Linked DNA regions of Kluyveromyces lactis. The protein of the gene in region 2 interacts with the protein of the main gene of each other region in a pairwise test. Links are inferred from orthologs where the notes say so. Each region holds a gene or a part of one and is shown on either strand. Other genes may lie near its edges. The genes, in order: TPD3 and FAR11.

Region 1 (4,117 bases), about 1.5 Mb from region 2:
GATAGGCTTGCAAAGATGTGGAAGTGGGTTGATCCTAAAGTCTGTAAGACACCTGAACATACTAGAAAACAGTTAGAGTCATGGCTACCGAGATCTTTGTGGTATGAAATAAATCCAGTATTGGTGGGCTTTGGACAGGTACTCTGCATGCCAAGGAGCAAAAGGTGTGAATTATGTCTTGTGAACGATATTTGCCCAGGGGTTGACAAAAAATTACTGAAACTAGTCGGTTTGGAGCTTGAAGATACGGTGAAGAACAGCAACAGGGGTGATTACACGGAATGGATAAATTACCTTAGAAAAGAGAGAGCAGCTGAACTCTCGCAGAATGAGATTGATGATGTGGATAGAAGTGCGGAAACTACCTCTACGGAATCGAATACTGAAGTGAAAACCGAGGATAACTGATTTATTGAGTACATAATTAGATATCGCGCGTAACAAATCCAGTACTAATTCTAGTACTAATTCTAGTACTATGCCGCCACTTAAAACATGCCATAGTAAAGTGTAGATAAATGTGATAATTATTCATGTTTATATAGATGTTGCCCTATAATATTCTGCTACGCTTAGGACAAGAAGGATTTACATTTTTCTAAACTCTGTGCAGAGAAAAACCTTACGTCGACATCAGGATCTTGACATAGTTTTTCTAGTGTTGGAATAATGGTATTATTGATTAGTTCAATGTGATTCTTATTAGTATTTTTCGTTAACGCTTCTACGATGACAGCGTAGAACTTTGCAACGTTAAATCTAATGTTTGGAACGTTATCTGTGGATAAGTGATTTACGAATGGTAGAATCTTTTCGACAACAACGTCTGTGGAGACAACGGGGACCAACCCAGTTAATGCAAATAGTAGAGTGATTCTATAGTTGAAGTTTTCTAACAGTTGAGTGTCCGACTTTAGTAAACGAGAAATGATTTCTTCTTGTGCCCAATCTGAACCAAAGATTTCAGTTAGTTTACTTAGATTTGTGATAGCAGCACTTCTGATAGAGTAAACACCGTCCCACAACCACGATAGACACAAATCACTTAGTTTAGAATCAAAGAATTCCATCCCCAACTGTTCTGCGAGAAGAGGAATATATTCAATAATGGCCAATCTTACTCTCCAATTGGGGTCCTTAGCAAGCTCTGTAATGGCGGGTAGCAAATTCTCAGATAGAAATTCGATTCCGACAGATTCATTGACGATTTTCAATTTGGCAATGATATTCAAACGGACATCTGGGAATTCATCTTTCAACATATGTAGAAGTATTGGAACTAAACTATCCATTGAGTCTTGCTTTGGTAGCAAAGGCGCCAAGTTTGTAATCTCCAAAGCCAAAGAAGCCCTTACACATTCTGTTTCATCGATGCTTAGATTCTGAGCAGCAGGTATAATTCTATTTAAGATAACAGATGGGTCATTAAGCAATTTTGCGTAGCCAGGAATTTGTTTTGCGATGGCTTTCCTGACATCACTTTCGTTATCTTGACACAAAGCTAAGAATGGTTCTAACAATTCGCTGACATATTGTGGATTCGAAACGAACTGAGAAGCAAGTTCCTCGAATCTATCAGCAGCCATGTACCTAACTCTCCATGCTTCGTCCCCGATTAATTGAATGGAAGATTGTAATAGATCCTTCGTATGTGTGAAGTCCTTTTTCTTATTGAAAAATTTCAAGATTGAGATCAAGACATCAACAGCCAAAAATTTCACCGAATCCTGAGAATCATTGACCAATCTTTGGAACATACTAGAGATATAGTCCCATTCGTCATCTGTTGACAATTCTGGATGCTCAGTCAATTGGTCAACAAGGGTAGGTAAGTTTCTGCCCGCAGCTCTTCTAACCATTGGAGTATCATCCTGTATCAATTGCAAGAACAACGATAACAAATCTTTTCTAAACTTATCATCCTGAATTCTAACGAAAACTGCTTTGAACAACCCACAAGCTGATACTTTGGAAGAAAACCATTCATTGGTGGCAAGATTTTCAATCAAAGGCACAAAATCATGCAGCAATTGTTCCTCAGTCAACTGTTCGGCTACCATATTTAATGAATCAACTGCTTTTTCTCTCACCAACGTCTCTTCGGTTGATGCAAGAATCTCCAAAGCAGGCAATAGCAGAGTGGCATATTTTCTACCTCCAACAAACGGCACAAAATTACCTAATTGTTCAGCCAAGACTGCAAACACTTCATCTTCATCATCCTGAGCCACTTCGGTTAGAAATGGAATCAATTCATCACGCGTCCTTTGAACGCCCAAGGCTAAAGCAATGGTGTCCAGTTTTTTCATTGCTTCAACCCTATTAGAAATATCATCGTGCTTCAATTCATCCATTAGCAAAGCTAATGGATAGAGATTCACTTTACTGTCGCTATTATCGCCCATGTTATTTCTTACACTGCTAAAAAGTTCCCCGAGCCTGTCTAAAGTTGGGTAATAATTGCGGAAATTAAATTTATTCTTGAAACTGAGAAAGAAATTTGTTAGATATTTGGCTTACCACACCGTTCTCGTTCCTCTAAATATAAGTACACTGTCTAAATTCCTGATCTTCTGGTAAAATCGAAGCCCAAACCTTTTTCTCTGCCCTCTTGTGTCCTCTCCAATTGTGAAAACATACAAAGATAGTATAACCCTAATGTTTTGTTCTTGATAAACCCAAATGTATATTTTTAATTATTTTCAAATTTCGACTTTCATCGATTTCTCACCAAACAATCCAAATCTCAGTTTCATCAAGTTTTCCTTCCTTCCACTGACGTTATGAGGGAGGAAGGGGACAAGAAGGGGGGAGAGAACCCAAAGTCACGTGATTGATGGTCTCGGTAGGGTAATGAAGATGTTCGTTGTGTAGGGTAACTTTGGATAAATATATAGATACATGAATATGTGCGTAGGCATCTCATAGCGATGCTAAAGTGTTCACTGCATGGATGAAAAGTCTTACTATGGTGGATGCTTTATCTTTGCTGTGCATCCATATGATATTGAACGTTTTTGATCTTCTTGCAAGGGGTAGTACCATTGATATTGCGAAGATAATAAGCGATGCCAGTAATTGCGGTGACCATTGTACCGATTGAGCCCAGACAGGTAACCATCTAGGTAGATAGGTTGTCAAGCGTCGTATATAGGACAAATTCATCCTTTGCGTAGATGCAGGTGCTATTACGGCTGTTGTCGACGTTGATGTAGTTGCTGCACCGATCTGGACTTGATTTTTTGGCTTCAGCGATCTACTCTTTGATTTTGGCTTCGGCTTTGGTTTAGGTTGTAGTTTTTCGCGGAAATAGGTGTCTATATCCACGGATTGAGCGTGCTTCACCTTGTTCGCCTTGAGCTTGCTCTGCAATTTGTCGTCTAGCTGACAAAATCGAGTGTACATCGTGATGCTGGCCTTCTTTTGTAACGTTTCTATTTGAACGTCAAATATCAAGAAATCTAGTATTTGACTTAGGTTTTGAATCTCAGTTACTGTTTGGCATCTTCTTGAAGTTTGTAAGAGTAGTTCCTTGCATGAAATGGATAATTCATCGATGTGTTCATAGTTTTGTTTAACGTTTCTCTTCCAAAATTTCAAGGAAGAATAGAAGAATTGGTACGTGATAATCAATTGATCACTCAACGGCTTCATCTTGATTAGTCTTAGAAGTAATTCCTCATTGGTGAACCATTCCTTCAATCGCTTATCTAGACTCGTTCCGATTACCCCAACATTATTCATTTGACTCACGCAGTCCATCATTAATTGCCATGATTTTAAGGACGTTTGCATCTTGTTGCTGTTCAACAGCCCATATTCATACATCAGTTCGAGACATTCCTTAAGGTCACCTTTTACATAGAGATCTAAGCATTCTTGCGCATGCTCTTTCTCTATATCAACAGGTTGTAAATTCAACCTGAACCGATCATCATCAAGAAGCTGTTCCAACCTCGTCGTGTCGACCACTTGAAAACTTTTCTGGCTCATCATTCTATCCGGTTATTGGACACTAACCTCTCATTATCTGTGAACCCCTTATCTTCACTCTTGCCTTTACTTGGCTCAAGAAGGTTCAGGTAAAGCTATTTCTATCAAAATAATTTATGCTGAT
Region 2 (4,533 bases):
TCACAAAACAATATCGATCTACTGTTGTTGTATCCAATGATGTAAACATAAAGTGAAAAAGGTTGTGAAATAGTCACGTGATTGACTTTGGTGACCATCACAAGGATTGAAGGAAAGACATATGCAGACATACATGTATACATAATATATATATCAATACAGTACATGTATAATACATTTGTTTAACTTATTATTATGCCATATTTTTTAATAAGGAGCAGAGAGTAGTTCAGCCTCCCTTGAAAAGAAAGAGTTAGAGAATTTGTCATCGTACCCGCAATGTTCCATAGTTCTTTTATAGTGATAGAAATTGTAGAATTGCAGCATGGCCCGTAAAGCAATTTCTTGGCCATAGGAATCGTTGATCTCGCCCGTGATATCCTTCCCTGTTATCCAGTTATCTGTTAAATGAAGTTTCTCATGTAAGAACACTCCAGAAATCAATTCCATATGATCTGCCCTCCATCTTTTATTCTTGAATGGTGCCAATTCGTGAATTATCTTTAATATGGGGTGGTATATGTCCAGATTAAAGATAGAATACAATGCCTTGAATATGTTACTAACATTAAGTGGTAGGTCTTTTAGCCTTTGTGTCTTTTTCCCAGTTATTTTGGATAACACTCGTAATAGATACACCTCGGAATTGAGCATTCGGAGATTTAATCTGTTTGCTTTCTCATTTGCGGTTGATATCTCAAGAGTTTCTTTATATTGAACATTGTATAAAGAACATTCACTCCAAAAAGAATGGGTAGGTTGTAAATGTTTAGAGTAAATTCTGTTTTGATATTGATCAGTAAAAGATTGAAGGATGCCTACGCTTGTCGTAATGAACTTTGAATCGTAAATCAACGAGCAAAGATACTCAAATTTAAGAAAGTGGCTAACCTTAAACCATTTTAAAAGGAGGAAAAGTATGGCAGAACTCGATTCCATTGCAATTTCCTTTGATCTTATAAGTTCCAATTGTGGTTGAAGCTCATTAATTTCTTCTTCAGAAAAATCCTCTTCAAGGTATACTTTGTTTGACATACAAGTTTCAATAGTTTCTAATAGAACATATACTAGAGATGAAAAATGGGGTAAAGCATTAGCATAATAATCTTCGATGCGATTCATGGTTTCAGGTTCCTCATTCTGTATACCTCTATACGTGAATGGGTCCTTCTCATGTACCTCAGTGTTTGTCCATCCTCGTTCTTGCACCATAAATAATTCTCTTTCATGCCATAGTTGTTTAGTAGATAGTTTTATATGCACAGATTTTGACAAAATTTCGATTGCTTCTTGCATGTTATACGGTAACACTGTCTCAGGCACCGCAATACTCAGCTTATTACTAAGTTCGTCTACCACACCAGTATCATAGTCACCAGAGGATGGAAAAAATGCTGGATATGATAAATTGGCTTGAAATGACTTCCTCGTTTTCAATCCGTTGGGCGAGCTTGTGGGTGATGCCGGCTGTGATGGTGCAGGCGTTGCCATATGCACTTGTGGCTCTCCCAACGACATGTTAGAACTGCTCCTCGAACGGGGTCTCGGAATCTCTAAAAATTGTGAAAGAGAATTGGGGTTGTCAAGCATGCTAGGATATGTCGGTTCTGGAAGCTGAGAAGATGGAAATCTTGAGGTGATATCTTCCCTAAAAGCAACATATTCCAATGGAGATATTGAAAGATTCGAAGCAGAGGAGTCTTTCTTTTCAATTTTGTGATGTTGAAGAACAAATCTCTTCACTGCGTCATAATGGCTCTCTTCACCAAACTGTAATAGAAGCACTTTATGGAATAAAATAATGATATTTCTTATTCTCATTGAGAGTCGACTTTTCCAACGCCAATGGTCTATATATTTTGTAAGGAAAAGCATCAAGCCAGATGAATGTACGACATCAATAAAATCTTCTACAGCTTTGGTGTGCATGCTTCTTTGCTCAATAGCTATATTGATCATAAAATAAGTGATTGAACCCGAGTAGAACAAAAGAGTATTATATTGTTGCAAATTAGTGTTCTTCACCCTACAACAATCTGCATGTTTCTTAAAGCAAGGTAAGAGTACCTTTGAAATCATCATCAATAGAGTATTATTCCTCCGTAGAATGTCTAAATGATGGAAATAACTGTTCGTTTCCTGAAAAGTTCCGAAAGAAATATACGCCAGACAAAGCAAGGTATTGATATCCACTGAATTTACCTCTAGCTTTTTACCAAGCTCTGTAATAACTTGAATAGCGTATTTACGCTCTTCGATAAATTTCGAACTATCATAGTTTTTTTCAAAGCTCAACTTTGCAGTCTTTAAGCTCCCATAGTCCTTTTGTATGAACCATTCTGATAGTTCGTGAAATAATGAATTAAAATCGGAAGCCTGCCAATCTAACGTAGGCTTGGTAAATGAATGTGAAAGATCACCTCTTTCAATCTCGTCTGCTTTTTCTTGTAACAACTTCTTTAATGCATCGTCTACTGGTAAATTATTATCTTCTTCAACTTTGACATCCTCATATGTAATTATTTTATCTTTGTCATTCAATTCGGGTGAAACCTTCCTTAGTTGCTTCGGTGATGCTTGTCCGTTAGTATATGAATCATAACCTTGGAAATAATCTTTCAGGCTACCAGAACTAGAACTGGGGGAGATTGGTCCATCGATCTCATCGACATTTGCAAACTCTGAATCCTCATCATCTTCTTCCCCATTAGCATCATCCTGAGTATCAATAATCTCACTGCTATTGTTCGCTTCATTAGATTGTCTATCTGTGCCGTTGTTTTCATGCTGCAATTCATTTGAATCACCCAAATGTAATTTCTTGCTAAGTAAACTATCCAGATCATGGAATAAAGACGTATCCGAAGGGAAAGTCTGGTGTTCATTGGAGAGCTGTTTTGCAAATGGCGGTCTAGCCTGAGTCTTGCTCCTCAAATCTTTAGAAGACAAAGACTTCAATAGCGGAGATCTTGACCGCTGTGTCTCTGGCATTATCGCAATCCACAAATAATATTGGATTCCTTTCTATCTCTCAAATTGAATAATCGTTAATTCAATGTTGAAAAGAAAACAGCTCTTCAAGCCGCTATCAATAGAAAACCACGGGAGTAGTTCAGGCAATACCTCGCAATGTATTTGAACCACAAAAGTAACGTTTTCTAAAAAGTTTAAGTGTATAGTTGCAAACGTTCTTATTCTAACATGTCTGATTGAATGCGATGCTACTTTTTTTTGGATTTTGAGTAACTATTCAAATGCCTGAAAAATGTGATACACACAAATTAAAACTGAAAATCTGTAAGAAACAAATCGAATTTGACTCGTGATGTTCAATCGTGGAAGAGTGACCAGCAAGCTTTTCTGGCCGAAGCCGCTAGTTTATATTTGATTGCAAACTAAATGAGCATTTCTCTGGAGAATATTCTTGGCCTCAAAGTTAAAATTACTGATGTTTTAGACCATGTAACGCAAGGAAAAGTGTATTCATTCAACTCAAATAATGACACCATCACTTTGATTGTGGGCAAGAAAAATAAAGCATACACATTTGAGATCATTCAGACCTCATTTATCAAGCATCTGGAACTAGTAGGAGAGAAGGCTAATCCGTCTAGTTTCAAGAAAGATCATGTAAAACCGTCATACGTTGATCTCGATAGAGTGAAAAATGCATTGGCTAAGACAATAGACACAGCTGCTAAAAAGGAAATGTCAATTGGAAAAAATGTTTCCTATGAGGGTCAATTTATATTTGATCTCATTCATAAGACTATATCAGATATAGTATGGAAGGGAAAATCCATTGTCGTTCTTGATGAGCTGGAAATAAATCCGCCGTATCAGCTTGGTAGCATTAAACCATTGCAAGGCAGAACTGATGTCAAATCAAAAGAGTTGATAGATAAGATTGTTGAATCTGCATGGAATAAATTAGAGAACGAAAGAAAAGGCGGATGATGCCGGATGTCAATGTAAAAATATATAGTTTATTTATTTACAGATTAAAATTTAACTTATTTCGTTCGGAATTAAAACTGGATAGAATACACATCGCCTTAGATGATGCCCACTAGGAGCAATCTCTAGCTTGTCCTTCGATTAACGTCACTCCGAATTTCAAAGTAACATCCACCGGATAGAAATTGAATCGAATAATTTAAGACCTTTCCCAGAGGTTCCTTTAAACCCATCAAGTTCCTCCCATGGAATATAAAACTCAAATCGTTCATTCTTAGGTAAAATGTAGTTGGAGTCATTATCAAGGTTCTTTGACTGAAGCACAGATTCCCAATAAAGATTTAACCAGCAACTTGAAAAAGAGCTTAGGTGAGAGACGTTGTTTATAAATTGCGAGGTCTTTGAACGGATTCCAAATGATAAACGGATATCTGAGAAAGTTACGTTGATATTTGGAACTATTATTTGCTTTGAAGTTAACGACCTTAATGATCCCTTGCCTGTAGAACACTGCTTGGAGAATAAATCGATAAGACCCGATTTTCCACTTGAGTGACTTTGTATCTTAATGGATAC

Evidence for each region.
Region 1: the proteins of FAR11 (region 2) and TPD3 interact in binary tests that used the Saccharomyces cerevisiae proteins (3 or more experiments, as listed by UniProt). The link is inferred for Kluyveromyces lactis from reciprocal best matches to the Saccharomyces cerevisiae genes FAR11 and TPD3.

Annotation. Positions count from the first base shown.
Region 1 is NC_006042.1:726,120-730,236, reverse strand, and holds TPD3 (protein phosphatase 2A structural subunit TPD3), read right to left. Parts: upstream 2,406-4,117; coding exon 573-2,405; downstream 1-572. Other genes in the region: KLLA0_F07711g (endonuclease III domain-containing protein), read left to right, coding at 1-408; PEX15 (Pex15p), read right to left, coding at 2,923-3,996. UniProt on the Saccharomyces cerevisiae protein: Phosphatase 2A affects a variety of biological processes in the cell such as transcription, cell cycle progression and cellular morphogenesis, and provides an initial identification of critical substrates for this phosphatase.
Region 2 is NC_006042.1:2,261,603-2,266,135, forward strand, and holds FAR11 (Far11p), read right to left. Parts: upstream 2,992-4,533; coding exon 208-2,991; downstream 1-207. Other genes in the region: LSM12 (Lsm12p), read left to right, coding at 3,400-3,957; TEP1 (putative phosphatidylinositol-3,4,5-trisphosphate 3-phosphatase), read right to left, coding at 4,117-4,533. UniProt on the Saccharomyces cerevisiae protein: Participates in the control of the reentry into the cell cycle following pheromone treatment.